4 linked regions of the Arabidopsis thaliana genome follow. The protein of the gene in region 3 binds, or shares a complex with, the protein of the main gene of each other region. Each region holds a gene or a part of one and is shown on either strand. Other genes may lie near its edges.

Region 1 (7,212 bases), on a different chromosome or scaffold from region 3:
ACGTCACGAAATCCCCAGCGCTTCGGGGATGCCCTCAGCGACGAGGAACATGTACTCGGGTGTATGTGCGACTCGTTTAGATCATAGACTGAGACATAAAAAGGAAATTCTTTTTGAAATATCACGGATCAGTACCTATGAATAAAATAGAATGGACGAACTCGATTCATTATTTACAAAATATAGATCGTTCATATACTCTATTGTGTCTGAAACTTATGGTTTACATTGGTGCAAATCCAATCAACTCCATTTTTTAGAAAACCCCCAATGATAACAAATGAGTATCCATTAAGCGGGGGAAATTCCATTTTTTAGAAAAAAGATTTCACTCTTGAAAGAAAAGAACGGACTAACAGGGTAAATGACCTAATCAATTTTCAAAATGAAATACCGTTACTGTATAAAGGGGATCTCATTGTGAAAGACCTATTACTGGAATATTCATGGGGTAGAGCCAAAGAATGTGAATTGTACAAGTTACCAATAGTATTGATTAATTAAAAGAAGGAGCTCCGGTGTATAGAGAGGACCTCACCGTTTTAGAAGTAACCATAGAAACGATGGAACCCACTATTTATCCAATTCTATTTACTACGTTTTGTAGTTATTCTATTTTTTTATATCAAGGCCTTTCAAAGTAAAGGAAAATACCTAGCAAAAAATAGTGGTGGGGAAGGTTAGAGTAGCAAAAGCCATTGGAATTTTTTTTATACATTGGAATAATTCGTTTGGTTATTAATAGACTAGTAAAGGGGAAAAGAATAACTAAAAAAAGAATTAGTTATTCATCAAAGTTTGATTTATTCAATGACTAGAATTAAACGCGGATATATAGCTCGGAGGCGTAGAACAAAACTTCGTTTATTTGCATCAAGCTTTCGAGGGGCTCATTCACGGCTTACACGAACTATGACTCAACAGAGAATAAGAGCTTTAGTTTCGGCTCATCGGGATAGGGGTAAAAGAAAAAGAGATTTTCGCCGTTTATGGATCACTCGAATAAATGCCGTAATTCACGAAATGGGGGTATTCTATAGTTATAATGAATTCATACACAATCTATACAAGAAGCAATTACTTCTTAATCGGAAAATACTTGCACAAATAGCTCTATTAAATAGGAGTTGTCTTTATACAATTTCGAATGACATAAAAAAATAAGGGGATTGGAAGAAATCCACGAAAATATTTGAAATAGAGTTCTAAGGAGAATGAGCTCGGGGAAGGTAGAGTAGAAATTAGTATTAAAAAAAAAGTCGTCAAAACAAAACGAGAGTATATAGTTTCGAAAAAACGAGTTATGCTTTTCGACGATTCTTTTCTTTTTTTTTTTATAATAGACACAGACGTAACAATCAAATTTTTATTCTTGATTGGATTTTTTGAACAAAACATTAATCTCTTTTTTAATTCCTTCAGATTGGAATTGTTATTCAATTGAAAAATAAGTCTATTTTTTTCTGGTTCTAAGACTAGTAGTTCTAGGAGTCGACTCACTTCTTTCAAATTGTTTCTGATTATTAAGAAAAGGTAACAAAGATAAAATACGAGCTTGTTTTATAGCAATAGTGATTAATCGTTGTTGTTTTAAAGTCACTCTATTCACCCGTCTAGATAATATTTTTCCTTGTTCACTAATAAATCGACTAATTAAACTCATGTTTCTATAATCAATTCGATCCCCCGATTGGATCGGGGGCAAACGCCTACGAAAAGATCGCTTGGATTTAGTAAAAAGTCGCTTAGATTTATTCATAATTTTTATTTTTATTCCTTATCTCTAAAATCCTATTTTGATCGGATCAAAATAAAAACGATTTCTATTTCTATATAGGATAGAATTTCTATATAGAATTAAGAATATCGGATTAGATTTCTTTCTATTGATTTATTTGTTTATATTTATATATATGTAATAATATATAGATACTAGCATTATTCCTGTTCTTAAAATAAAAGTTGACATACAAGCACTCAATTTGATCTATTTCTTGATTTCCCCGTGAATTGTATGTTTATAACAATAGGGACAGAATTTTCTCAATTCCAATCGACTAGGGGTGTTATGCCGATTCTTTTGAGTAATATATCTGGAAATTCCCGCGGCTTCTTTCTTAATATCATTTCGAACACAACTGGTACATTCCAAAATAATTGTTACTCGAACATCTTTACCCTTGGCCATGAAACCTCCTTTGGATTTATGATTCACCTCAATCTTCTATTTTAATTTTAGGATCCAGAAAGAACAAGAACAAAAAAAATAGAAGCTGTTAACTAAAAAAAATTCTGAAATATTTCGTTACAATTAATATTTTATTTATTAGTAATTAAATAAAAAAAATAAGTAATACAATGATTTATGATTTTGTGAAAACTATATTTAAAATCTTTGTACAGTAGTTTTTTTAAGTATCTGATAGGTTCCCTAGCAACACTTTTTTTCGTTCTATTACTAATTTCATTGGATCCTGAACCCTCGTTTTTATGACCTTTCCCCCCCCCCCCCACCTTTTCTAATTTATTCTACTAATTAGAAAAGGTGGGGGGGTTAGTCCCCGATTGTTGATTGTATCTCTAAATTTTTCACCCCTTTCTGATGTTAATAACTAGAATGAAAAAAAGGGAAATGTTAATGCATCTGGAAATAAACGATTAATCTCTATTAATAAACCTGCTAACGAACCGAACCATAGAGTACTTAGTACCGGTGCTACGGAAAGATATGTTTTTAGATCTCGCATTAGAAATCCTCCTTCTTTCTTCTTTATTGTATTACATTATATATAGTAATATATATAATTACAGATGTACATGTAATTAAGAAGTTCTTGTATTTGTATATGTAACTTCCGTCCCCCCGCTTTCAAAATTAGAATTTTAATATTGTCGACTAGAACGATCTTATCGATTCCATTTGAAAACGTAAAGGCCTATTTATGTAAAATTGAGAGAATAAAAAAAAAAAAAAAAGTAAATTTTTTAATTATATCTTTGTTATCTGATATGAGAAAAAAAGAAGAAATGAATTTGATATACCAATAAAAAAGAAGGAGGATGTGGAAAACAAGACAGGAATTCTCTACAATGACACTGTAAACCTATTGAAAGGGATGTAGCGCAGCTTGGTAGCGCGTTTGTTTTGGGTACAAAATGTCACGGGTTCAAATCCTGTCATCCCTACCTATTACTGCTCAGAAGAGCAGTAACGAGGTATCTATTTTGATCAATTTTTTTTATCGGACATACATTTAATTCTGAAATTTATGATATACTATGTATGATATAGTATATACGTACAAAATCGAGTCGGGTTAAAGAATGCCCTCTTTCTAGCCTTTTCGTTTTTTAGAAAAAAAAAAAAAGAAAAACGCTCTTAGTTCAGTTCGGTAGAACGTGGGTCTCCAAAACCCAATGTCGTAGGTTCAAATCCTACAGAGCGTGATTTCATAGATTGTATCAAAATTCCACTGTTCACAAATTACTGAGCAGCAGTCTGAATTAGACCTCCCGCATAGGAAAGCAAGAAGGAGGTTAGTAAAAAAACGAGATGTTAATTAATTAAAAGTCCAACTGATCACCACGTCTGTATTGTAAATAAGCAGTTACGAATAATCCAGCCAAAGTAATAGGAATTAGACCTAAGACGATTCCAAATAAAAAAACTTCAATCATTTGAATTTTCTTTTGTTTTCATTTTTGAAAGGGAGAAAAGAGAGGTACTATCTATTCCTAGCTCTTAATCTGTATTGCCAATGAATCTCAATGACCAAAATTTGGTAATTAACACGGTAAGGAACTATCGAACATATTAATAAATACCAACGAAATCCTTTTTTATAAAAAAATCTGCATTCAATTAATTTCAAATAAGTCGTATTTTGCTTAGACCAATAAACAGAACTGAGGTTATAGTTAAAGCTGCTAGTAGAAAACCGAAATAACTAGTTATAGTAGGCATGAAGGGACTCAATAAAATATGTTTTTTTATACATATGTTTCTTAAAGTACTTCCCTAAGTTTCAATTGAAATTTTTTTTAAGAAATAGAGAAAGATAACTAGTTCCAAGAATTAAAAAAATTCAATTGAAAATTTGTGAATTATCAATCATTATAGGTGGTATGAAAAAAAATAGAGAAAGATAAAAAGAACTCAATTCATCGTCTTTGGCATCTGCACTATCTCAGGAGTCAGAATTAACGTAACTTATTAATTGAAAAACTCTTTAAGAAATTAATCATAAAAAAAAATAATACATAAAAAAAATAACTCTATTATCTAACTTCAGTCAAAACATATAACTTTTTTTGAATGAATATGTAAAAATTTGAAAATAAGTTGTTTGATTCTTTTTTTTTATTGACCTTAGAACCTAGAATACGCCTCTTTCTACTTTATTAAAATTGAATTTACTAAAATTTAAACTCATTAGATTAAATTAAATAGTAGAGCAGTTTTCTTCATTTAATCTATCGAATGAGACTAAAAAGAAAAGAGGTATCCTACACGGAGAACGAGATTAGTAAAAAAAAAGATTTATTTATTTTAACTAGATTTTAAACGATAACTAGATTTTTAAAACTTGTAATTAGCAATTTCTATTATCGTTTCCTTTCGAGGTTTTAGGTTTTTTTCTTTCGAGATTATATAGAAAATAGAGTGAAAAACCCATCACCCTTGTAGTTAGTTAAAGAAAGAAAAAAACCTTTGAATTGTGAATTGAATACAACAAAACAATGCACGCATTACAAATATTTAGTCTTTTTTTATTATTTTTATTTGTTGTTCTTTTTAATTGATCCAATCCAATCCAAAACTATTGTTCTTTTTCTTGTTTCTGCAAATTAATTCCTTAAAATGAAACAAAAAGTAAAAGGGGGGATCACATTATCATAAAAAAATCTATTCTACAATTATGCATATGCAATGAAAATGAAATTTATAAATTTTTCATTCAATTAACTTGGGACCATATGAAAATTTGCTTCATGAATTATTAGAATTAGAAACCAACTTCTTGGATTTTCATTTTATCTAATCTTTAGTTTATTTTCTAGTCCAAAACGAATAAAGGATCAAAGCCCCTATAGATTACAGTAATTTGAAAAAGTGGGACACGGTTATACATCGACAAGCAAGAAAAAAAGAAATTATGTAACACCCCATTTCTATACTAATTCAAATTGCGTTGCTGTGTCAGAAGAAGGATAGCTATACTGATTCGGTAGACTCTAAAAATACCCTTGGTACTTTATTGACGATCTCACAAAGATGCAATCTCAGTGAATTTTAATTTACTTATTCATCTTTTACAGAATCGATTCCCTACGAGAATATCTGGAGTTCAGTATGTCTGGAAGCACAGGAGAACGTTCTTTTGCTGATATTATTACCAGTATTCGATACTGGGTCATTCATAGCATTACTATACCTTCCCTATTCATTGCGGGCTGGTTATTCGTCAGCACCGGTTTAGCTTACGATGTGTTCGGGAGCCCTCGTCCAAACGAGTATTTTACAGAGAGCCGACAAGGCATTCCATTAATAACAGGCCGTTTTGATCCTTTGGAACAACTCGATGAATTTAGTAGATCTTTTTAGGAGGACCCAATGACTATAGATAGGACCTATCCAATTTTTACAGTGCGCTGGTTGGCTGTTCATGGACTAGCTGTACCTACCGTTTCTTTTTTGGGGTCAATATCAGCAATGCAGTTCATCCAACGATAAACCTAATTCAATTATAGAGCTATGACACAATCAAATCCGAACGAACAAAGTGTTGAATTAAATCGTACCAGTCTCTATTGGGGGTTATTACTCATTTTTGTACTTGCTGTTTTATTTTCGAATTATTTCTTCAATTAAGAAAAGAGCGTAGAATAATAAAATAAAAAATAAAGAGTAGTAATTTTATTATCCCATTCGGATGGATTATATATAATAATTATCTCTGACTGTTTATGTTTCTAGCATGACCACTCGATTAAATGTGGAGGGAAGCGGGATAAATGGCTGATACTACTGGAAGGATTCCTCTTTGGGTAATAGGTACTGTAGCTGGTATTCTTGTGATCGGTTTAATAGGTATTTTCTTTTATGGTTCATATTCAGGATTAGGTTCATCCCTGTAGAAATTGGATGAGCTGAGTTATAGACGTGAAAACATAAGAACTCAACGGGGCCCAACTCTTCCTTCTTTGTCTGATTCGAGGGGGTCCCGTTGAACTGCTAATAATCAGAACAATTTTTTATCGTGTTTTTGAAAAATGAACTTAACTAAATTAGTATATTATGAACATATAGTATTTTTTAATCTTTCAAAGATAGAATAAAAAAGGGGAATCACTTCATTCCCTTTTCCTGCTTCCCCGGCTGACACAATAGTTTTTATCATTAGATCTATCATTAAAATTTAAAATTTGGTCTATACTATAATAGAATCGAAATAGAAGTTTTTTCTGATTTTATTTATTTAGTATTTCATCAAAATTGAAAAAAAAAAAAAGAAAACTACAAAAAGTAACTACTATAATATATATATATATATGTAAACTAAGAATAGGAGTTTTTAACGAATTGAATCAAGAAGGACAAGATCGACACAAGAAAAGGATGTCTAAAATTCCTTTTCTTGTGTCGAAGACTAGCAAGACAAAAAATACTCCCTATAGTCCCTAAAACTTGTTGTTTCGCCGATTTATGGTTCCCCTTTTTTTCGGCGCGTGTGTTCCTTATCTTATTTTAGTATCTAGTCAAATTTTGCCATTTGACTAGAAAAAAACTCTTGATTATTGATACATTCTATCAATTTCAATTGGTCAATAACGACAGAGTTACATCACACCCCTTCTCATTTTTCAAATTTTTATTGAAAAATAAATAAAGGGGGGTAAAGTGAATTCTTCTCAATATACATACTAGTATTAGGACTATGATATAAGTAATTCCTGACATCTAGTCGAAAAGGAATAGCAAATCTAAAGAGAGGCAAAAGGTTTTCATAATTTTTTGTTCTTTTTTACGAATTTGATAAAGCTAAATAGACAGATCTAAAAATTCATTTCGGATAATTGAACCTTCTCAAACTGTTTCTTTTTAAGAACCAAAAAGATTTGTGCCAAAACAACCGATCCTAAGAAGAACAAAAGACCTTGGACACGTAATGGATCTTGAAGTACTATTTCCGCATCCCCCTGACCAAATCC
Region 2 (7,409 bases), on a different chromosome or scaffold from region 3:
GTTTACCAACCTAACTCCAAGATTCTTTGTTAATGTGCATCAGGAAAGAAGGTCACAAAAAGGAAAAAGGCAAAGATGAGTGTTTTGAAAACGTGCAACCTACCAAGAAGGCCCGAAAGGAGCCCTAATTAAAGTTTTGGGTTTTGTTTTATGTCATCCTCTTCTCTACGTTTTTTTAGGTTCAGCTGATTCTCAACAAAATAGATATTGCTTCACTTGACTGACATCTATGAGTAGTTTTGTAAACGTTTTTTGGTCTGGGATGGTTAATGACTTGACGTATTGCCGTATGCGCCACTCGTATACTAGACCAATACTTTGTGAAAAGAAAGATGAGTAAGAGACATAAAACGGAGAGGATTCGCCTAGTGTTCAAATCCGTTCCTTATATACGACAGTGCAACTTTCTTTTGGAAGAGAAATTACCCTTTTCATGAGTTCGTTAACATAAAAACCTTTCAAATGAAGTGAAACCAAATCCCAAATGTGTCACATGACTCAGACGACCGGAGTCAGAAGTGATTTCCCAGAAAAGTGCGCTTCCAAGTTACCCACGACAAGATCGGCCATGGCATTCCGTGTTTCCACAGTGCCACTCCCAACGTGAGGGAGGAGAACTACATTCTCAAGGCCAAAGAGCTCCTCGGGCACGTGAGGCTCCTGCTCAAACACATCAAGGGCAGCCCCACCTAGGCGGCCTTCTGTTAGAGCTTTAATAAGCTCTTGCTCATCAACATGTGGTCCACGGCCAATGTTTATGAGGACGCCCTTAGCTCCTAATGCATCCATGACCTGCCGGTCCACAATGTGTCTGGTCTGCTCGGTCAACGGGCATGCGACGACGAGGATGTCTGAGTTTTGAGCAAGGTCAACCACCGTCGGATAATACTTGTAGGCGACATCAGGCTTAATGGTTCTTGAGTAGTAATTGATTGGGCAGCTAAAGGCTTCAGCCCTCTTTGCGATGGCAGTCCCAATTCTACCTAGACCAATGATCCCCACGGATTTTCCACTAAACTGAGTCAACCAAAAGAAAGAAAGAATGTGACGCTAAAGCAGAGATAGAAGACCAAAGATAAGATAGGGCAGAGAGCTCTTTTCCAATCAATCAATAGTGGGTAAGAAGTAGAAACCTTGGTAGTGAGTTGGAATTCACCTTGCTTCCATTTTCCGCTCCTTACATAGCGATCGCACTCACACAGCCGTCGAAGGAGAGCCAGGATAAGCCCGATGGCGAGATCTGCGACGTCTTCGGTGAGAACGTCGGGGGTGTTGGTGACGCGGATCCCTTTTTCTTTGCATTTCCCCAAATCGATCTTGTCGAGCCCGACGCTGAAGCTGGATACAATCTCAAGGTTGGGCAGATCGCTGATGAGCTGAGCATCGGCGCCGGCAGAAGCATTCCCAACGACGGCGCGGATGGAGTTCCGATGAGTTTCTAGGAGGACGGATTTCTCCGGAGAAGTCCAGAAGCGAAGAAGGTTGAAGCGCTTCTCAAGCTCGTTCTCGAGGTAGGAGGACATGGGGCACATCATAAGGACTCCGATTGATTCCATATCTCCTTTTCTCTGTTTTTTTTTTTTATTTTTCTTCTGCAAATGATTGAGTCAGTGAGAGGTCTGTGTATAATTTATCGGAGGTTGACGATAAAGATGGGCCTATTTTTGGGCCCATAATTGATATTATCCGCTTTTTATGGGCCACTAAATGACCCTTTTCAAGTTTTCCTCTTGGTTCCGAAATCATGACTTATGTTTAAAGACAACATTGCACGTTTGATGATATTCATGCAAATTGTTGTAGGATTCATGAACATGATACAAACACAAGAAGACATACACTGTATGTGTATGGAAACGTAGCAGATTCCCCGTTGACATTGCATGTTTAGGGAATCCAGTGACAAGGGTGTAATCACATTTTAGTATGTTACTATATGATAACATTTTATAATTTAAACGGCTCTCTATCTCTAATTATCAATGTTCAAAATCCTAAATAATGATTAGTTAAAATTAAGAGGTGTGGTCTGAAACATGCGCCCCACGTCCCATCTTCCAAAAAAAGGAAGCAAAAGAAGAAAGCTCCACAATTTTCTCAAAGCCAAAATCACTGTAACAATTACCCTTTATTGTTTTGCGGCTCGATTAGCTTCTCCTTCCCTTTTGATTCTCCCCATCTCAAGAGAGGCCCATTTGATCCTCTCTCTTTCTCTCTCTCTCCTCTCTAATTCTCTATTGCCATCAAGAGACCAGGAATGGTTCGTGCTTCGGAACAAGAACAGGAAACCTATAGGAGCAGGCTCTTCAATTTCAAATGGAGGAACAACGACAACAATAGTGCTACGAGACACAACAAGAGTCTCAGCGTCGAGACCGGTTTAGATGAGGCTGCCACCGGATCCCATGACGCTGAACCATTGACCATTATTCATCCTAGTCAGGGTCCACCACTTTCAAGATCGGCTGCGGATGAAGCAGTCCTCGCCGCCCTCGCCGCCTCACAGGCTAGAGAAAGGCAGCTTTTGGCAGACATGGAGCAGATGAAAGAGCGCTTCTCCAAGCTGTTGCTGGGAGAGGACAATTCCGGTGGAGGCAAAGGAGTATCCTCTGCTCTCGCCCTTTCAAACGCAATCACAAACCTTGCAGGTTGCTTTAGGACCCTCTTTTGTTATTACACTTAGTTTATATTAACCAGCAACCAATATCTCATGTTTATCTTGTTGGTATAGCTTCCGTGTTCGGAGAGCAACGGCGCTTGGAGCCAATGCCTGCAGAAAGAAGAGCAAGATGGAGAAAAGAGATTGATTGGCTTCTCTCCGTGACCGATTACGTGGTTGAGTTTGCTCCATCTCAGCAGAAAAATAAAGATGGGACCAATATGGAGGTTGTCTATCTGCTGCTGCTGCTGCATTATATTTCATTTGGTAACATACAATGATTCCCTTATTCTGTTGGTATTGATTTAACAGATAATGACCACACGCCAACGTACTGACCTCCACATGAATATCCCCGCATTGAAGAAACTGGACGCCATGCTCATCGTAAGACCTCTCTCTCTCTCTCTCTCGTTGACCAAATATCAACCCTACTTTAATAATTTCATTTAGGATATTCAAAAGCATCCTCTTATCCCCCTTTTCTACCTAGGATTGTCTAGAAAATTTCAAGGACCAAAGCGAGTTCAGCTATATCTCAAAAGACTCCCCTGACTTAGACGGTAAGAGAAACGACGAAAAATGGTGGATTCCGACCGTCAAAGTTCCACCAGATGGTCTATCAGAAGCTTCAAGAAGGTTTTTGCAGTACCAGAAAGATTGTGTAAACCAGGTTCTAAAGGCAGCCATGGCCATAAACGCACAGGTTTTGTTCGAGATGGAGATACCTGAGAGCTACATCGACTCTCTCCCAAAGGTAAAAAAAAAAAAAGACACCAACAATTGATGTTATTGATTAGAAGAGTTGATGAAGAATAATACTCACTTGTTTAGTTTGTAATAAATAAATAAACAGAACGGGAGGGCGAGTCTCGGGGATCAGATGTACAAGAATATAACGGTGGACTTCTTTGACCCGGACCAGTTCCTGAGCAGCATGGACATGTCGTCGGAGCACAAGATCGTGGACCTCAAAAACAGAATCGAGGCATCAATCATTATATGGAAACGCAAAATGGTTTATAAAGACAACAAATCATCGGCACCCTGGGCCTCCGGAGTAAGTCTGGAGAAGCGAGAGGTCTTCGAAGAGCGAGCTGAGACCATTTTGCTCATTCTCAAGCAAAGATACCCCGGGATTTCTCAATCTTCACTCGACATCAGCAAAATCCAGTTCAACGAGGACGTGGGCCAGGCGGTGCTGGAGAGCTACTCGAGAATACTGGAAAGCTTGGCCTACACGGTACTTTCCAGAATCGATGACGTTTTAGAGGCAGATCGAGCGGGGAACAAGAGGAACACGCCATTGGAAGCAGAGGAAGAGACGCTGGTTGGGAGCATGACGCTGTCGGATTTCATGGGATGGGACTTCGATCAGGCCGCGAACGCCGAATTGGAGTCGAAGAAGGATCTACCGGATGATCCGTTGATAAAGGAGAAGCTAAGCGTCGTCACGACCAAGAAGACCTCATACCTCGAAACCCTAGGCGGTGTCAAGAGTCCAACGGCACGGCATTGATATTTGTGTGGAAAATTAGGCGCAAAAAAGAGCGAAGACAGATTTATTGATTATTTAATTATTTTTAGGATTCAAAAACTTTACAAAAGGGCTTTTGTAAATTCCTTTTTATGAAAAGGTGGGCTTTTAAGATTAGGCCCAGTTTATTGTAAAACCCATTTACCATCTGTATACTGTATACATCCCTTCTAAATAGTAGTAGTACTCACCTTATCTTCATTTTCATCGATTCGATTCCAAATCGGAAGGATGATAACGTCGTCCCTAACCTCATCTCTGCAAGCTCTCAAGCTTTCGTCTCCGTTCGCCCATGGCTCCACTCCTCTCTCATCTCTCTCTAAGCCCAATTCCTTCCCGAACCACAGAATGCCCGCTTTAGTTCCGGTCATCAGAGCCATGAAAACGATGCAGGGGCGCGTGGTGTGCGCAACCAGTGACAAGACTGTGGCGGTGGAGGTGGTGAGGCTGGCTCCCCACCCCAAGTACAAGAGGCGCGTGAGGATGAAGAAGAAGTACCAAGCTCACGACCCCGATAATCAGTTCAAGGTTGGCGACGTGGTCAGACTGGAAAAGAGCAGACCCATCAGTAAGACTAAATCATTTGTGGCGCTTCCTGTCATCGCAAGGGCCGCCAGGAAAGCCGAAGCCGGAGGAGATGAACTCCTTGGCCTTCCCTTGGAGTCTCAGCAGCCGGCGTAGAGAATGATTGCTCTTTGTTTCTTTTGGTAAAGCCGTCTTTTTTTTGCTCTGCTTCTGTTTGTTTGTTGTGTATCCCGGAACCAGTGTAATTTATGGAATGCTTTTGTGATTTCATTGCTTATGCCATGAGTGTGTTTTCAATCTGATTGTTTCCGACTACCAATTGTTTGCTCTTACTTCATCTTCACCTCCAGTTACATTTAGAATGTGAATTAATATGTTTCTGTTGCTACTGTGTGCTTGTGGTCTCAGTGATCCGACTTTTGTTTCTGCTAATTCTACGGTTCTTGCTCCTCTTGTTATGGTTCATTTGCCAATGGAATGGACCAAAAAGGTGTTGGATAATAATAGGATTGGAGAAGAGAGAGCTGGTCGTTTTTGTACAAAACTTTAATGCACTGCTGCTATACATTATCATATAATTATATATAGGTAAATAATATCTGCTGTGACTTGTCATCAGCAATCTTCGATTTGTAGACTTCTCTTAATGTTGTGTAGTGTGACTGAGACGAGGTTTGTCACGGATTCCACAGACTCCATATTCAGCTTTGCTGCAGGAGAAGGGTTGATGAGGGTTTGGAGGGCGAGTGTCAGGAGCGACCCTCCTTGGCTGTTTCTGTCGTCTTGTGTAGACGTTATTACCAGTGGCCGTGACTCTACTCCATCAGGTATGATTGAGAATCCAGAGGGGAGGATTTGGATGTTGCTTGGATCATGTCCCGCGAGCACCAGCTGTGTCGTGTTTATATCTACGGGAGCGTATACCACCACCGACTCATACGAGTTAGTGCTGCTGTCTTGCAGCACCCATATGCTCTTTTCTCTCGATTTCACTGTCTGGAAATGTATAGAAATTCAGATTATCAAGGCCTAGACAGATTTAGAGGAGGAGAAGACAAAATAAACGCACCTGGATTGCCACTGAGTTGCCTCTGTCTTGTCCCTTGGATAAGTTTGCAATAGACTGAACATGAGCTCCGTTTGACAAAGCATCCCACTGATGATATGTATCGTTAGATAAATATATGAGTGGAAACCGCTTTTCTTGTTTGCTTAAATGTGTGTGAATTTGACAAGGTACCTCATGCCGACGAGCTTCATCTCTAAAGAAATCGAAGAGAAGAGCTGGAGAAACAGGTAACCACAGCGAAGAAGAAGCGCAGACAATGACTCCCGTGGGCTCGCCAGGATCATGAAGGTTCTTCCTGGAAGAAACCCGCATGTCTTGTCCAGTTTTGGTGGTGATTTTGGTCCATTGATGGTAGCTTGATGCAGCAATGGCGCGGTAGAAGCTTTGTGTCATTCTCTGAGCCATCTTCAGCACACTCTTTCTCCCGGCAAGAGTTGTAACTCCTGATTATCAACAGAGGAGTGAAAAGGTTATATATAAAGAAAGATAGAGAGTGTAAATGGAGGATCCGGATATATAGACGGACCGAGAGAGTCTTTGGTGGGGACGTTGGTAGCCATGAAGAAGACAAGGCGTTCGCAATGGAGCTGAAGGGTGGCGACCCAGTGTCGAGCCCCAAAGGCCAAACCGGTGTTGACTAAGGAGCGGAAGAGAGGCTGAACTGTGGATGCAGACACGTCGAGGTGCTCCACCCAGGTGACCTTGGAGTGACCGTTGGAGGTGTCCTCGATGATGCAACCGGAGGGGAGTTTTCGACATTTCAGAAGAGAAGCCTCCTTCTCCGTGTTGCTGTCCTCCACGGAGACCGAGACGTCCACTATTGCCCATTTCTCAGGGCTCAGCTGCCGGCAGCTTCTCACGAAGTACACTTCTCTTGTGGGGACGACCGGAGTGAGCAGCTGCATCTCTCCGAACATCTGCCACAATAGTTATAAACCATATCCATCCCATGTATCAGCTGAGTCGTCATTCATCAATTATCACTATATGTATATATTGATGAGTACTCACCAGCTGAATAGCCCCGTCGATCCGTGAAGGCCCTTCGCCTTGCCGGATAACATCGACCGTTGCAGCCTTTGAGATCAAGCATGCAAATGTCTCTTTCCATTGTCCCTGCGCGTTACACGTACACATCAATTCCTTTTTATACACATAGAATAAGTTATAGTAGCTGGTAACAGTAATAAATAATGGAAAAGTACCACGTCCATGAAACTCTGGGCAAGTTTATGTGCGTCCATAAACACAATCCCCGCATCTCTAGATGCTTCGATGGTTTTCCTTCCAGGAAACGAAGAGGCTTGCGCTTGGGGAAACTCCTTGAGGTACTCATCGTAGTTGAGAATCTCACGGCCAGTCTCAACGCTGCGGAGCCACATAGGTTCGCCTGAGGTGGCCATCTTCTGGAGTTCAAGGGTGGCTCGGTTAGAAATCTCGGCAATACGGGACTTCTCGAGGGCAAAGACGCCCGTGTAGAAATCGAGAGAGCCGAGACGGTGTTCTTGATCGTCGGAGCATGAAGCCTGCAGGGGATAGGGAGTGCGTCCAAGAGCTGCACGAAGCTTATCGAGCTCGGCTTTCAGTTTGGAGTTTTCGAGGTGGAGATCATCGGGGCC
Region 3 (8,132 bases):
CTAATAGAATTTGTTTATTCTCATGAAATGGTATTTTTTTTAGCACATACGGCGTTCCTGATTAAAAAAAAACACAAAAATCAAAAGTTAAAATATGAAAATTCGAGAAGAACATTCAGAGTCTTTAATACCATTAAAAAACATTCACATTCTTTAACTCATTTTATTTAATTTTTTGTCCCTTATCAAGAATGAGTATGTATGTAGTACTCTATAAGAAGACAGAAGTAAGAATTGGGTATATATGATTGTGTGGACATCCTTAGTGTCTCGTGAATCGACAGAGACTCTCCAACTGTATTCCCTTCCCCATTCTCATTCCCATAAGCCTTCACTTTCTTAAATTGCATGTATTGTTTCCTCTGTTAAAGAAAATAGAAACTATAACTTACTTAAGTCTAGTTATCAACTTTAGCCTCACTGGCTATATGTTTCTCCAAATCTATAAACAAATGTATAATAAGCAATGTATAAGTTTCTTAGAACAATTATATTGCGAATTAATGAATCTCTGTAACCTCTTCTTACATCTAGTTTGGATTACCGATTAGAAATATGTAAATCCGTCCATGATAGACTGTTACTGATATTAGTTAACTATCAAAATCATCACCACAGTAACTAATCATCTATTCTCGGATGTTCTAAAAATAAATATTTCGATGTAATATTGACAATTAGGATATCCTTCTAACAATAATGATTGTAAATGTCATTCTTTAAAAAAACATGGATGTAGACTATACTATAAACATCAAACATGACAGACAGTGATTCACAGTTTGGAAATGAAAACATCATGTCATGTTTTAGTCTCATCCAAAATTCAGAATGTAAATAAGGGAAAGATGATGATAACAGATATTTTCAACACAAAAGTATCTCAGATATGTTCATCTTCGGAACCTTTAACTCAGAAAAAAAAAAAAAAATCATATGTGTCTGAATTTTTTTAGTTTTAGCAACCCCGCAATTCAAGAAACAATGATATAACAGGTTTGGTATTTTACTTTGAACGTGTTTTTACCGTGTACTGTTCGATCAAATCTAATCGACACGCGAACGTGAATCCAAAATATTAGTGTTGTCTTTTTTCTCACCTCTTACTATTTTTTACAATAATTCAGCTACTGAGCTGTAGAAAGATAGGGTCACAAGACATTATAGTAGCTAGCTTTGTAGTTCGATTTTGTATTTTTCCCATGATTCTTATTAACATGGCAAAACAAAAAGAGATAAGCTTCACTCATCTTTTAACAATCTCTTCGTTTTTCGTGGCTCACTCATCTTCACACCACACTCCTATATATATACCCCCTCTTTCCTCCGATAGTGAGAGATAGAGTCGATAATTATGGAGAGAATAACGACCTTATGGTTTTGGTTTAGTCTTATGATTTTCTTAGGAATCTCTATCAATGGAGGTTTGTCTCAAGGACAGCAACATGTTATGAAGAAGACACGTTCTTCTGCAGTTGTAGTAGGAACTGTCTACTGTGACACTTGTTTTAACGGCGCCTTCTCGAAATCACCCAACCACTTAATCTCAGGTCTGGTTTCTGATTTTTGTTTTTTTTTCCTCTTGCAGTCTTGCTCGTGTTTTCTTGGTAACACTACTTGGAAAATAATGTTTTTTGGATTCTAGAACAGAGCACTCTGTTTTGGAAACTTATAGGGTTTTTTCTTGTTTGTGGGTCTAAAATCTTAGAAAGAATTATGAAAAGTTTTGTGGATCTTGTTGCAGGTGCTTTAGTTGCAGTGGAATGCATTGACGAGAACTCGAAACCGAGTTTCAGACAAGAAGTGAAAACAGACAAGCGCGGCGAATTCAAAGTGAAGCTACCATTCTCTGTGAGCAAACATGTGAAGAAGATCAAGAGATGCTCTGTGAAGTTGCTAAGTAGCTCACAGCCTTACTGTTCTATAGCTTCGTCTGCTACTTCTTCTTCTCTCAAACGCCTTAAATCAAACCATCATGGAGAGAATACTAGGGTTTTCTCTGCAGGGTTCTTCACTTTCAGACCCGAAAACCAACCAGAGATTTGTAGCCAAAAACCTATCAATCTCCGCGGTTCCAAGCCTCTTTTACCGGATCCTTCATTTCCTCCACCGCTCCAAGATCCTCCTAATCCTTCCCCTCTCCCAAATCTCCCTATCGTTCCTCCTCTTCCAAACTTACCTGTTCCAAAGTTACCTGTTCCGGACTTACCTCTTCCTCTAGTTCCTCCTCTTCTTCCACCAGGACCTCAGAAATCAGCTTCCTTGCATAACAAGAAATCTGATTCCTTGAAAGACAAGAAAACCGAAGCACTAAAACCCAATTTCTTCTTTCCGCCAAACCCGTTAAACCCGCCATCTATCATCCCTCCAAACCCGCTCATTCCTTCTATCCCAACCCCTACTCTCCCTCCAAACCCGCTTATTCCTTCTCCCCCAAGTCTCCCTCCAATCCCACTAATCCCTACTCCCCCAACTCTCCCTACAATTCCGTTACTTCCTACTCCCCCGACTCCTACTCTGCCACCGATTCCAACAATTCCGACTCTTCCACCTCTTCCGGTTCTTCCACCTGTCCCTATCGTGAATCCGCCTTCACTACCGCCACCACCACCTTCTTTCCCTGTTCCGCTCCCTCCGGTCCCTGGACTCCCTGGCATCCCTCCGGTCCCTCTTATCCCTGGAATCCCTCCGGCCCCTCTCATCCCGGGAATCCCTCCTCTTTCACCTTCCTTTTCTAGTCACCATCAACCCTAAATTAGCAATCCTTTCCTTACATTTCCAATTATGTAATCTATATGTATCATCCGCTTTAAATTGTTACTTTTTTCCTCTGCATTTTCACTTGTTGGCTTGTTGTCATTTCAATAAATATTGTTTACTATGGAGTTTTTATCTTGCTGCTTTTGTTACATCAAAAGTCAATTTAAAAAACAAATGGCCCATTTTGACTTCATTAAGAGATTCGGAAACTTTTTGTAACTATCTAAAAGAATAAGTACCTTTTCGTAATTATCACATTTGTTTTTCTATGGGTGATTATATTCAGTTCCAGTGAGTGACTGGATCTTATAAAAAAAAACTCAAATTCAAAATTATCCGATCTGATTCTATGGCTGAGACATTCAAGATCCGAAAACTGGAGATCTCCGATAAGAGAAAAGGATTCATCGAGCTTCTAGGTCAACTAACCGTCACCGGATCAGTAACAGACGAAGAATTCGATCGGCGATTCGAAGAAATCAGATCGTATGGTGACGACCACGTGATCTGCGTGATCGAAGAAGAAACTTCGGGAAAAATCGCTGCTACGGGTAGTGTGATGATAGAGAAGAAGTTTCTGAGGAATTGCGGTAAAGCTGGGCACATTGAAGACGTTGTTGTGGATTCAAGGTTTCGCGGGAAACAGCTGGGGAAGAAAGTTGTTGAGTTTCTTATGGATCATTGCAAATCAATGGGTTGCTATAAGGTGATTCTAGATTGTAGTGTGGAGAACAAAGTGTTCTATGAGAAATGTGGGATGAGTAATAAATCGATTCAAATGTCTAAGTACTTCGATTAAACGTTCATCATGATGATGATGATGATCTTTTGTTTTCTTGTTTTGAATTCGCCATTTTAATGATAGAAGTTTTTTCGAGTTTCGATGATTACACAGAGGACTAATGATAGACTAAACAACACAAAAGCTTTAGACTTTGAAAAGTTAATGATACCTATGATAAACAGATATATCTGGTGAATCCAAATCAAGACAAATCTCCACCGCTTGATTGCCAAAGATTGATGATGTCTGTAGCTTGGTTAAGGAGGAAGACACGATGAAGCTCAGAGATCCAAGGCTTGCTCTCTAACAAAGTTTTGAGCTCTTCCCAAGCATCTTTCCTAGGCCAGAAGTAGTATGGACTAAGTGGGATTGTTCCAAATCCTGGAATCATATGGTCTAATGCAACTCCTATGTCCTTTTGCATCCATACAAACTTCAGTACCACCTTTGGTTTCTCTAGCGGCTTCACTAACACACGCATCTTCTTCTGCAATATAAGATGACGATAACAAGGGAAGAATCATACATCTCTACTTCCTTTCACAAAAGTTTTCACAATGAAGCAACATAAGGGAGGTTTAACACTAGCACACACTGCCTCTTCTACCACAATTAAATAGATGGAGACAATACATTTGGTTTACCACATTTTCGTTCAAATGACAAAAAAAGGCTGCAACTTTGTCTAACAAGCTTATAACCCCAATTTGTTCCAAGAGAAGTTTTTTGACGATGACTGACCTTTCCAAGTGGCGGAGATTCAGATTCTGGTAGTTCATGAGAGAAGGTAAGATTGGAGGGGGGATATGCGAATATTCCGGGATTGATACAGGAGTGTCTCGCCGGAATTTGACCCTGATTCCAAGTAGAGCACGAAAGCGATGGTCGAGAAGAGGGTTTGAGCTTCGTCGATAGAGAGATATGAGCTATGGGTTTCGAAGAGAGCTTCTGAGAAGGTGAAGCTGTTCTGAACCCAAAAGAAGCACTCTGATTTGCTTGAACCGCCATTTCAGCTGCGTTTGAAGCTTCTAAGCGAGCAATTTTATTTTGAGAGACCGGGGAAAGCAAAAACACAGGTTTTGCGATTTTCTGGTCGGGTCGGGTCGGATCGAATCAAACGGGTTTTGTAATTTGAAGTGTCAAATAATAATTAGATTTAATATTTTATGTTCATCCATTTCTGTGGCTCCAACTTATACAATTTGACGATAATATGAGTTAGATTCAATATTTTCATGACATTTGTTTTCAAGTTTCTTCTTGCAAATAGATCGAAAGTAAGATTAAAGACAAGGGAATAGTAGCACATTTGCATATTCAAAAATCCAAACAAACCCTGCAATAGTAGTAGCAGTGAACCTTTTTTGGCTTTTACAAAACATCAGTCTTTTTTAACTTCCTCAAAGCTAAGCAAGCATGTCATAATCATCCAATGTGTCATTGTACTCAAGAACCTTTCGTTTAATCTTGGATGAATCAACCCAAGTGATGAAATCTTCCATGTTCCGAGTTACTAAGAAAGCTGGATCAGTAATTGTTTCTGGTCCTACACGAACGTGTCCTTGCTCTATGTATGTCACAGCTTCTTTGTGGTGCTCTGCAAACTTCAGGTGAACCAGCACAGTAGATAGCCTACGCCTGCAAATAAAAAAAAAGAACCGATATGAGGCAAACGAAATGAGAACATTTGGCTATCAAGGGTTTAAGTAACTGCCTATATAGGCTCTTGCATATACTCTTACCTACAGAAGGATGAAACTGATAACCGCTCAGTTAGAGTCAAGCTTTTCCTAGTCGGTATAACACCCATGTTATATCTGCCGTTTCAAGCGTACATGTAAGAAACACAAGTCAGTCAGCCATTAAGAGAACAAGTTTTCTCATTGCAGAGTGGAACTACGCAATCAACAAGTTTCAGTAGGATGGCTCTTTTTCCCTATACAATAAGCCTATATTATATAGTAACTTAGCTCTATGTAGAAGCTATTCAAGAAACAGATTCTGAAAGAAACCCATTAGATCACACATTTTACCAGGATGAATTCAACCTCTAATGGATTTCAAACCAACGGTCCTAAAATCTATATAGAAGCATAAGGACCCCCAATTTTAATTATCTCTAAAAGTGGTTAACAAGAAAAACAACAGGAGGTCTCTAAGATAAGATCGGTGTAAAAAACTGCAGAAAATGATCAAGTCTCATGTTCTACGACCTAAATCTAGAGAAAACAAAGAACCATTGCTTGTAATAAGCTCTATACTTGAACAAACTGGTATATATATTTAAAAAACTCACAGCTTCTCCAAAAGCATATCAGTCATCTGAATACGAAAAGGATCTGCTGGATCCATTTGTTTCATTATATTCGTCAGTTTCTGCACCATCCTACACAATCCTGAATACCTGCCCAAAAGAAAAAACATTCTCAAGAATCAGAAAAAGACCATTGTTCATCACAAAACACTCGAACCAGAAGAAGAAGAATAAGTAGAACAGAGCTTTAAGAGCAAATAAAGGTACCAACTTTTTGTAATCATCACGAGAGCCCATGTGGTATCGATACGTAATCTCGTTTTCCCGATGGTTACCTTCTCTTTTCCATTCTAAGAAATTTACTTTCTTTATAAGCTTCTTCTCGTGATACTTGAGCTTTCTCATCTCGGACGGTACTGATGATATGCAAATTATACGAAATTAGGGTTTATTTGTCCAATAATTCAGATTTGAAATCCTGAATAATCATAAACCCTTGAACATTCTAATGGGAACAACATAGGATTTATCAATCTCTGTACAATTAGTCTATGAGTAAAATTGAAGTAGTTTACCTGAGAGAGATTAATCGGCGCGGGATAGAGTAAGGATGAAGAAATAATCGGCGATGAGGTTCTTGGGTTTGAGCTGAAAGAAAATGCTGGAGAGGCTTAAACCCTAATTGGCAGAGGAGTAGTAATTCAGAAACCCTAATCGAAGGAGAGGAAGTCAGATAAATCCGACGGTCCCTATCCTCTGTTTGATTGTAACTTGTAAGGCCTTAGCATAACTAAATCTTGTTGAGTTGAGCCTTTTAAACTTCTCATTATGGGCCTGAGAAGCCCATGTAGATTTTACCTTAATTATGGGACTAGACTAGGAAACGGATTTACTAAGGGTGCTTTGAATGCAAAATCAATTCGCTACGTTAAAAAAGATTATTTGGAAGTTCTAAGCATAAACAAGCATCAAATCCATTGGAAGCAAAATATATAGTTTTACTACATACTATGCAATGGAAGTAATTGTATGTGAGGTCGCATGGAAGTGATTGTAAAGCATTGGATGATCTTCTCTATTATCGATCGGAAAATGCAGCTAATAAGGGACCCTTGATTGATATAATTGACAAACGGGTGATCTATAGGTTAAAAGAATTAAGTTTTATAGAAAGTAATAAAGGGTCCCAATTATATTACACTTGTTACACAAAATGCATAATCTACTAGAACTCTCGATAACGACCAAAATTTCAAATCCAATGCACACGTATATACATACACGCATGCGCACGAATGGGCTTAAAAGTTTAGAGTGTTAAGATGATTGAGCCACCGACACCGAGTTTCGTGGGGATATATAATAATTGTTGATTTCCCTTTTTTCACTATATATTTTGCGTTTAAGCTATCTTCAAAGTTATTGGTTTCTTTACCAATACGTGTTTGTTTGTTCTATTTCAAGCAAAAACATAATCGCAGAAACGTCTCCTTTATTTGTTTTGTTCTTTTCTTAATTCTGAATACTTGTGTGTAAGTTTTGAAATATAAATATATCGTTAATGCTTTGTTCTGTTACTTTACCTTTCTATTAATATCAAGTAACTTTTAGGACGAAGATGTTCATTTAATGTTACTTAAAATACGTAAGCATTAAAATTTGTGAATTGCAATTTTGATTAAATATATAGACTGAAATAGAAATGACCCATTTGATTAAAACTACAGATATTTACACGCTTTTCTCTCTGTTTTCTTCTTAAACTCTTCGTTGAAATGACAATTACAGTTATAGAAAAATCTTAAAACTCTTAGATTTTTTCCATTGGAGAAATGTATTCGTATTTAGAAAAATAAATCATTAAGTTCCGACAGCAGTGTAATGTCCGATGTCGGTGGAATGTATATGGTCATAGAAAATAACGTACATTAATTCGCTCAATAAGTAACTCATCTCTAATCAAATTCTTCTATCGTCAAGTGAAAAGAAATAAATACTGAATTACATTGGAGATGCTTTCAAGTCATTACGTGACAATTGGCCTTTACTTAAATTTCCAATATTTATCAATCGATGTTACACGCACGATTTGATATAAATAACAATCATTTTCGAATAGCAAACATGAAGGAGATTGATCTAGATTTTTGGACCGAACATCGTCTATATATTGATATATATTGGCTGATATAATGCTGTGTTTTAAAACAATAACCTGTTCATAACCTCACATCTACACGTGTATCTTTTTAAATTGTCTTCACGAATGACAAAAGAAAACAAATCATTCAATTTGATCTTTCATTGTTTCTAAACTTGGCCGGCGAGCGAGAT
Region 4 (8,323 bases), on a different chromosome or scaffold from region 3:
CACAACAGAGATTTTGAATTTTCTCTTTGAAACCCTCAAGTGTGTTTTTCTTAGGCTTGGTCGATCTTTAGCCGTCTTCAACATCAAAATCAATGGAGGAAGAAGAAGCGAGACAAGTGGTGATCGACAATGATCTGAAGAAGAAGATCAAGGAAACGGTGAAGAAGATCCTGAAACGGTCGAGTTTACTTGAGATTACAGAGATTAAGGCCCGAGAAGAAGCTTCATCTGAGTTGAATCTCGATCTTTCGCGAGATCCGTACAAAATCATCGTCAGAGAAGCCGTCGATAGTTTCATCGAGAAGGCGATTATGACAATCGATACTGAGATGGGAAAGCTTCATACTCAGATTGTAGAAGATGTTGATGGAGAAGTAACCGAGAATGCCACGAAGACGACTACGAAGAAGAAAAAGAAGAAGAAGGCAAAGAAGAAGGTGGAAGAAGAAGAGTCATCACCTGCTTAGGTAAATTTTATCATCTCAGATAAATTTCATCTTTGCTCAGGTTTTTGTGTAATTTCAACGATGAATGATGTCTTTAGTTGAAATTAGTGTTTTAGCCATTGATACTACACTTCAAGTCAAAGTGTATCAGACTCTGTAACATGCTCCATCAATAGTTATATGTTTTGTTACTTAAAAAATTGATGATTGTCTAATTCATTAGGACATTTAATTTGCCAAAGAAAAACTTGGTTTTGGTGAAATTGTGATACTCAAAAGATTCAAGTATATCAAAATGAAACCTCTTTTTCCAATGCTATATATTCTCTTTGTGTTATGAAATGCATTATTTTTGTATCGACCCTTCAAATGATAATGACATTTGCATATCTTTCTTCGGTAGAGTTTGACATATTTGCATTTAGGAGAGACGACAATTAGAAGATTGAATTGTCAAGAATATGATTGACTCACCACGTAGATTACACTGAAGCCACAAGCACACTTTGTGGTGGTCGTCATTCTAATTCTTATTATGATCGTTTCACAAATATTCATGGACTCGAATAAATCCACAATTGTATACTAAGCATTATTCTAGGAAGGATACAAATTGATGCAAAAAATATTTAGATAAGAGAATGCTCTTAGACCACACAAAATGCTACCCATCATTTTCTTGTTTTCTTCATATAGTAAACACAAAAACATATACAAAGAAAACTGAACAAAATTTGAAGAGTTATTAAAATGGGGTGTACATCTTCCAAGCAAGCAAAAGCTAACGTCGTCGCCGACGTTTACAAACCACCGCCGTCTAGTTTCGCGGTGTTTGATGTCAACGCCATCCAAGAGCCATGGCTAAAATTTGAACATGAAGATGATGAGAAACCGCCACGCTCCACCGTCTTCGACCGTCTCGACGAGGATGATGATGATGATGATGATGATGGTGATGACGCTCCTAAAACATGGGAAGAAGTCAGCAAATCTCTAGAAACTAAACTTAAACCTGCCGCCGTTAAACCGCCGGAAGTAGACTCTGTTAAACCTCCGGCGACTCCTCCACGGCGGCTTCCGCGGAAGAGCGCATCGTTCCACACACTGGACGAGCTTGAAGTGAGGGCCAAAAGAAGCATCGCCGCGCAAATCCCGACGACAATGGTTAAGCTTAAGAGAACCGAGTCGATGTCCAAGCTAAGACCCGAGTCAGATGATCGAACCGAGTCCACTCAGTCGTCCTACTCGGGGCCTCGGTCAGTGAAGGAGAACATATTCGTCAAGAGAGACAGAGAACGGAGGGAGAAAGAAGGGAACAAGAAGCCGGTGATGAACTGGGACCCACTTAGGGAGTTCCCGGAGAAGTGTCCGCCGGGAGGAGGGGAAGGTTTGATTGTCTACACGACGTCGTTGCAAGGAGTGCGTCGCACGTACGAGGATTGTATGCGTGTGAGGGCCATCATGGAGCAGCAAGGAGTTGTGGTGGACGAGAGGGACGTGTCTTTAGACGCCGGAGTCTTGAGCGAGCTTAAGGAGCTTCTCCAAGACGAAGCATCAGTGGCGCCGCCGCGAGTGTTTGTGAAAGGGAGGTACTTGGGAGGAGCAGCGGAAGTGACAGCGATGAATGAGAACGGGAAGTTAGGGAGGGTGTTGCGGTGGGCACGTGTGGAGAGAGTAGGGGAGGAAGGGAGGCTCACGTGTGAAGGGTGCGGAGGAGCGAGGTGGTTGCCTTGTTTCGAGTGCGGCGGAAGCTGTAAGGTGGCGGCGGTTGGGGCGGCCAAAGGTGAAAGGTGGGAGAGGTGTGTCAAGTGTAATGAGAATGGATTGATTCGTTGTCCCGTGTGTTTTGTTAATTAAGAACATTATTAGTTTACACAAGCAAATAGAGGTGTGTCAAATATACTTTGTCCCGTTTGTTTTGTTATATGTATGTGACACGTTTGATTTTGTGGAATTGAAAATGATTTGAAACTATGCTAGGATTTTCATAAAATGTTAAAGCATGAACGTGAACCATTATAATGCTAAGCTTGCAAGGTCTCTCACTCGTATATGTTGATGGTTTTGATCAATTACGTAAAGGAGTTCAACAATCTCACTAATTTAAGTTTGGATCGTCAGAAGGTAAAAGCTGGCAAACAAAGTCACTTCTGCCTGAATACTTTACAAATTTGTTCTTTGTTGCTATTTTGTTTGATTGTTATGCATCCGTTGAGGATTTTGTGCTATGAAACAGAGTAATATGAATTCCATCATTATAGTAACTATGGCAAGTTAGTGTTAGTTAAAATCTTTTAATGAAAATGCATACAAGTATGCTTCTCAAACTTAGCTTTAAGAGTTTCTCACAGTTACATAAGAAAGCAGAGCAATGCACAAAAAAAGATACAAAAAAGATAGATTTACTTTTGTTCTTACAAAGAAACAAAAAAAGAATCTGACATTTTTCTCACATACACAATGTTCATGGTCTTCAGTTGTACTTCCTCTTCTTTATCTTGAAGGAAGATGATCGGATAATGTCATCGTCGGCAGTGAGAACGGTCTCGAGTGGAACTATTGATTCGGGTTTGGTGAAGTAAGTGAAGAGAAGGTAGATTCCATCCAAGTAAGTGTTGGTTTCTCCAGCTTTGTTCTTCTTTCTTATGCTGTAAGCCAACGGAATCACTCCTCTGTTAAACACTTCCACATACATTCCACCTCCTGCCACAAGCAACTGCCACACACACCAAAAAGAAATCCCAGCAACATAATGAATCTTTCAGAGTCTGCACCAACTAAAAACTTCCACTACTCCGAACATAAATTTCAGAATTCCTCATTAGATTAAACATGTGATATAGCGTAAAAGAACCCACGCGTAAACCACAAATGATAACTGTGTATTAGCTCGTTTCGAGCATCAAAGGACATTTCAAGAATTGAGTTAAAATGTTATGGTAAAACATGACTAAAAAACTAAGAAGTGCACTAAGGGCTCCTATCTTGTTTCAAATGGTTGAGACTTAAAGAATTCACAGCCCACAGAAGGATGAGATTTGCTCTTAGAAAGTTAAACTCTTTACTTCAATTTTAACAAGGAGTCGTCACAAACATTCAATTGATAGCTGCAAGTTACACAACTCTACATTGAAACCATTTTCTCTTGCTTTGTCATTAACGTGTAAGAACAGACACAAGATACAACTTTTAGTGATCTCTTACTCAACTTCTAATTGAATCCTAAAATCTCTTTCTCTCTCAAATAATCAAATTTCCCTCTGACATGAAACAGAAAACAGGTAAAGTTGGAGACTTTTACTTACCTCTTCGTATTTCTGGGTAAGACCAAGCCGTTCATCTTCAGACATGTCTGGTCTCAAAACCGCCATTGTTTCGTACTGCCTGAGCCCAGGTGGGCACTGAGGTTCCGGTTTGTCTTCAAGGGCAGTTGAGACTCCCGACCCGGAAGGAGAAGTCGGGTCATCATCCGACCCGAATCCACCTTCAAAGAAAGTTCCAGAGAAGTCAAGAGCCTGAGATTTCACCACAAATTGAGAGCCATCTCTCTTCTGTATCGAGGCACACATAGGTTTCGACTTGGAAATGAATGGCCTGAGAGAGTGGGAGAATGATAGCAGCGGCTGCGAAGATACATTAGGCAGAGGGCAAATTGTGGAATTTGATACACACAGCGAAGACGCCATTGTTGTGAGATTGTGAAAGCAAAGAGGAGATGAGAGAGTAAAATTTGGATAAGAGATGATGATGGTACACATTAGTCAGAATTCTATTGTACACCATGGGCCTTTTTAGGTTATTGGGCCTGTTAAAGGCCCGTTTTGTAAAGACAATTATTTCTATCTGTATTATTTGTCTTCGCGATCAAGCCAGTTCTCGGAGCAATCAAATCTATAAGAAAAGAATCGTCGCCGGTGAAGAGAAAAAACCATAGAAGCGATGGATCCGCAGCTAACTGAAGTTTCACAGCAGTTCGAGAGATTCAAGGCGGCGTTTGCGAGGAAGGATTACAATACCTGTAGCGATCTGTTGTCTCAGCTTAAGGTCTACATCTCTCTCTCTTCTTTGAACCCTAATTTGTTTCAATTCACTTCTTTGCATATCTGCTTATTGAACCAACTTTGGGAAAATTGATGGGTTATGTCGCGAGAGTTTAAATCTATGAGAGCTTTGATTTATTGAAGTGAGAATTTTTAGCATATAAGTGTGTTAAGGATCTTTTAGAAGAGCTAAGTGCTATGAAATTTTTAACTTTCTACTTTAAGGGATTGTTGGGATTGGTTTAGATTTACAATTTACTGGTGCGAGTCTCTGATGTCGCTGGGGTTTTGTTGTGTTCTTCAGGTTCTTCTTACCAAATTCACAAGTCTTCCTCCATTGTTCGAGAATTCACCTAATGCAGCCAAGGAATTGACTATTGCAAGTAAGTTTCTCTTTTTCATTATTGGTTTTACATGAGCTATTTGCTAGTAAGTTTAGAGTTTTGCTTTCAATTGCATGGAGTGTTTTGGATTTGTCTATTCTCATGAGTTATTTGTTAACTATACTTAAATACCACTGAAGAGTGTCTGAGGGATTGTACTGCTTTAGTTTGTCTGTCTATCCCTATATGTATACATTAATCGTTGAATGCTGCATTGGTTTGGATTGAGTTATTGGTAATTTTTGTTCTTATTGATTATCCGTTTCTAAAACTTTGACAATTGGTGTATTCTAGGGGACATTTATGAGCATGCTGTTGTTCTAAGCGTCAAAACCGAGGATCAAGATGCTTTTGAGAGAGATTTCTTCCAGCTGAAACCTTACTATGTGGATGCCAGGTAAAGAAAGAACCAACTGTCTGAACATTATCTTTTTCATTTTCTTTTGGTCTAACATATCTTCTTTTCCTCTGCACCAGGAACCGTATTCCTCAGTCTCCACAGGAGAATCTTATCCTGGGTCTTAACCTTCTGAGGCTGCTGGTACAAAATAGAATTGCTGAATTCCACACCGAGCTTGAATTACTTTCATCAGCTACACTAGAGGATCCTTGCATCAAGCATGCAGTAGAGCTTGAGCAATCCTTCATGGAGGGTGCCTATAACCGTGTGTTGAGTGCTAGACAGACCGCGCCTGATGCAACTTACGTCTATTTCATGGATCTCTTGGCAAAGACCATAAGGTAGCATCAATGAGTCTGTCCTTCTCTGAATTAGTTCAGTCTTATGTCTTCTCGCGTGTTATCTCACCTTTTTATTGTTATGACTGAATTCACAGAGATGAAATAGCTGGATGCAGCGAGAAAGCTTATGATTATGTCTCTATCAGCGATGCCCGGCAGATGTTGTTGTTCTCTTCTGATCAAGAACTCTTAACCTATGTCACAGATGTAAGAGAAAAAACATTTTGTGCAAAGTTTAGAATCTTTTTTAGTTTCATGAACCATTGACGCGATTTAGGTTTTATCAAATCTTATAGGAGCATCCTGAGTGGGAAGTGAAGGAAGGGTTTGTTGTCTTCCAGAAAGCCAAAGAAACTGCACCGTGCAAAGAGATTCCGTCTCTGCAACTCATCAACCAGACTCTAAGCTACGCCAGAGAGCTGGAGCGTATCGTGTAAGATTCGACTTTTCTCACTGCTTGTCTCTTCTCTTCTGTTATGTTCCTGGAAATCTCTGGGTCAGAAAACTTTGTTATCATGTAATGACCGATATTGAGCGACTCAGTATTTTCTCCGGGTCAATGAGACTTTGTTGTGATATCAATCTGTTTTTCCATATCCTTTTACGTTATATTCTATTGTTTAGTGTTCACTCGTTTTCAATTGGAGACTCTGTCCTCCTCACTTTGATGCTTTGCTTGAACATGATGTCCATAATTCTAGGGGTGTTCAAAACTAGGTATAGTTTGGAATTCAGAGTTACCGTGGTCCGGGATACTCAATTTCGGTTTGGTTTGCGGTGGAATGTTTTAGTTCAGTTTGGTTATTTGAATTTGGGTTTGGTTTAGTTGTGGATGAAAAGGACAGATTTGGAGAGCCTCTAACGTAGTGTAGCCGGGGCCTTCCTTCCTTTGATGAACAACCTAGTCCAAATATGGAAGAAGGAAGGAAGGATTGTCATTACAGAACAAGGGACACACAATTGTCAATTGCCAAACACTCATCAACTTGAAACAAGTGGGGATTTACGTTGCAAGCATTTCTTCTCCTTGGGGTTAAAATATTGATTAACAGCTAAATAACAAATTAGGGAAGTTATTATAACATTAAAAGAAAGAATAATCACGATTAGATGTCCCCACTAGGAAAACAAGTTACTGTTAATAAAAATTTTATGTATTGCAAAAGGGCTTAAGTAAGGATCCACTTTGGGTAAGTAGTTGAAAATGGCTGAGTAAGAATAATCACGATTAGATGTCCTCGCTTTTTTATTCATCTCCCAAAGCGAGATTCGTTTTTTTCATTGTCGTCAATTATTGCATTGTTTATCATAATTATTTGCTAAGAACATCATTATTATTGAATAAATTATAGTAGTCGTTGTTATTCTACTCACCCACAACACGCACTTAGTGCCTAATTACGTCTTAATTTAATATTTTTTAAAGCTTTTAGGCGCATAAAATATGCTATGACAACTTTGTTCATGGTGGTGGACGTGTAAGAAACGTCTAAAGATCTACTCTATATAACATAATCAATTCGTTTTTTGAAATGTGATAAAAACAAACCTTTACCATATATTCGCCTCTGGCAGAAACAATGCATTTGGAATAAAATAGAATCGTATCACAGCATTTAAAAACGATTATTCAAATAGTCTAATAGTATTTATTCACACCTTTATGTTTTATGTATATCGAATTTTGTCAAAGCCAATATTCTAGAGATGGTCAATCAATATCAATACAGTTTTTTTTTTTGGCCAATGTTCTAATATTCAAGTTTGTTAGTATTAATAGAAAAACAAAATTTCGATGCCTTTTGTCTCATAAAAATATTAAAGAAAATAATACAAAGAATAAAGAATTTGCATGAAATGGGAGATATTCTAGTGGTTGGGGTAAAATGGTACAGCGTGGAATCAAATGTCTTCAACAAAATCAAATTATTTTATCTCAAAAAGATTTAAATCCCAATTTAAATAATATTACAACTTGTCTTCTCCTCTTATTTCTTCTCTCTCTCTTTCTGTTGAAGAAGCTGAATCAGAAGAGTTTTTTTTTGCTTCAAAAGGAGCTCCGGCGAAACTTCCGGAGATATTAACACTTACTCTGACGAGTTTTTGTCTCGTCTTACGTCTTTGCTGCTGCTGTTGATGGAACTTGACGACTTGGATCTCAGCGGTTCTTGGCCGTTAGATCAGATCACTTTTGCTTCAAATTTCAAGTCTCCTGTCATTTTCTCTTCCTCCGAACAACCTTTCTCTCCTCTCTGGTCCTTCTCCGAAACTTCTGGAGATGTCGGCGGCGAGCTTTACTCCGCCGCAGTAGCTCCCACTCGCTTCACCGATTATTCCGTCTTACTCGCTAGTAAGTCTTCATGCAAAGTTTAGATTCTAGAATCCAATTCAGATAATGTAGTGAATATGCTTCAATCTCTGGATAGTAATATTCTCCTTCATTGGAATCTTATTGGAACTTCACGGATTAGTAGAATTTAGATCTGGAATTTATAGAATCAAATGAAATGCAGGTTCTGAATCTGAAACCACGACCAAGGAGAATAATCAGGTTCCTTCTCCGTCATGGGGTATAATGCCTTTGGAGAATCCAGATAGTTACTGTGCCATCAAAGCCAAGATGACTCAAGCGCTTAGATACTTCAAGGAATCTACTGGACAACAACATGTTCTTGCTCAGGTTTGGGCGCCTGTCAAAAACCGTGGTCGATAT

What was found.
Region 1: PSRP3/2 (region 3) and rps18 share a complex: the UniProt entries of both Arabidopsis thaliana proteins name them as parts of the 30S ribosomal subunit.
Region 2: PSRP3/2 (region 3) and RPS17 share a complex: the UniProt entries of both Arabidopsis thaliana proteins name them as parts of the 30S ribosomal subunit.
Region 4: PSRP3/2 (region 3) and AT1G64510 share a complex: the UniProt entries of both Arabidopsis thaliana proteins name them as parts of the 30S ribosomal subunit.

What each region holds. Positions count from the first base shown.
Region 1 is NC_000932.1:62,464-69,675, reverse strand, and holds rps18 (ribosomal protein S18), read right to left. Parts: upstream 1,760-7,212; coding exon 1,454-1,759; downstream 1-1,453. Other genes in the region: rpl20 (ribosomal protein L20), read left to right, coding at 811-1,164; rpl33 (ribosomal protein L33), read right to left, coding at 1,988-2,188; psaJ (photosystem I subunit IX), read right to left, coding at 2,613-2,747; petG (cytochrome b6/f complex subunit V), read right to left, coding at 3,565-3,678; petL (cytochrome b6/f complex subunit VI), read right to left, coding at 3,869-3,964; psbE (photosystem II protein V), read left to right, coding at 5,354-5,605; psbF (photosystem II protein VI), read left to right, coding at 5,615-5,734; psbL (photosystem II protein L), read left to right, coding at 5,756-5,872; psbJ (photosystem II protein J), read left to right, coding at 6,016-6,138; petA (cytochrome f), read right to left, coding at 7,057-7,212.
Region 2 is NC_003070.9:30,038,941-30,046,349, reverse strand, and holds RPS17 (ribosomal protein S17), read left to right. Parts: upstream 1-4,397; 5' UTR 4,398-4,427; coding exon 4,428-4,877; 3' UTR 4,878-5,107; downstream 5,108-7,409. Other genes in the region: La2 (RNA recognition motif (RRM)-containing protein), read left to right, coding at 44-128; AT1G79870 (D-isomer specific 2-hydroxyacid dehydrogenase family protein), read right to left, coding at 499-1,017, 1,134-1,556; ROPGEF12 (RHO guanyl-nucleotide exchange factor 12), read left to right, coding at 2,258-2,648, 2,732-2,886, 2,972-3,046, 3,153-3,416, 3,516-4,178; GL2 (HD-ZIP IV family of homeobox-leucine zipper protein with lipid-binding START domain-containing protein), read right to left, coding at 5,337-5,717, 5,791-5,877, 5,962-6,233, 6,317-6,707, 6,802-6,906, 6,996-7,409. UniProt on the Arabidopsis thaliana protein: One of the primary rRNA binding proteins, it binds specifically to the 5'-end of 16S ribosomal RNA. Required for optimal plastid performance in terms of photosynthesis and growth. Required for the translation of plastid mRNAs.
Region 3 is NC_003076.8:5,139,520-5,147,651, reverse strand, and holds PSRP3/2 (Ribosomal protein PSRP-3/Ycf65), read right to left. Parts: upstream 4,663-8,132; 5' UTR 4,553-4,662; coding exon 4,286-4,552; intron 4,032-4,285; coding exon 3,747-4,031; 3' UTR 3,560-3,746; coding exon of another isoform or gene 3,110-3,559; 3' UTR 3,046-3,109; downstream 1-3,045. Other genes in the region: AT5G15780 (Pollen Ole e 1 allergen and extensin family protein), read left to right, coding at 1,355-1,550, 1,745-2,754; GNA1 (glucose-6-phosphate acetyltransferase 1), read left to right, coding at 3,110-3,559; AT5G15750 (Alpha-L RNA-binding motif/Ribosomal protein S4 family protein), read right to left, coding at 4,951-5,182, 5,287-5,361, 5,841-5,948, 6,070-6,203. UniProt on the Arabidopsis thaliana protein: Component of the chloroplast ribosome (chloro-ribosome), a dedicated translation machinery responsible for the synthesis of chloroplast genome-encoded proteins, including proteins of the transcription and translation machinery and components of the photosynthetic apparatus.
Region 4 is NC_003070.9:23,952,074-23,960,396, forward strand, and holds AT1G64510 (Translation elongation factor EF1B/ribosomal protein S6 family protein), read right to left. Parts: upstream 4,232-8,323; 5' UTR 4,205-4,231; coding exon 3,752-4,204; intron 3,163-3,751; coding exon 2,920-3,162; 3' UTR 2,730-2,919; downstream 1-2,729. Other genes in the region: AT1G64490 (DEK, chromatin associated protein), read left to right, coding at 93-467; AT1G64500 (Glutaredoxin family protein), read left to right, coding at 1,197-2,303; RPN12a (regulatory particle non-ATPase 12A), read left to right, coding at 4,386-4,490, 4,791-4,869, 5,164-5,266, 5,347-5,610, 5,706-5,817, 5,907-6,047; AT1G64530 (Plant regulator RWP-RK family protein), read left to right, coding at 7,747-7,960, 8,124-8,323. UniProt on the Arabidopsis thaliana protein: Binds together with bS18 to 16S ribosomal RNA.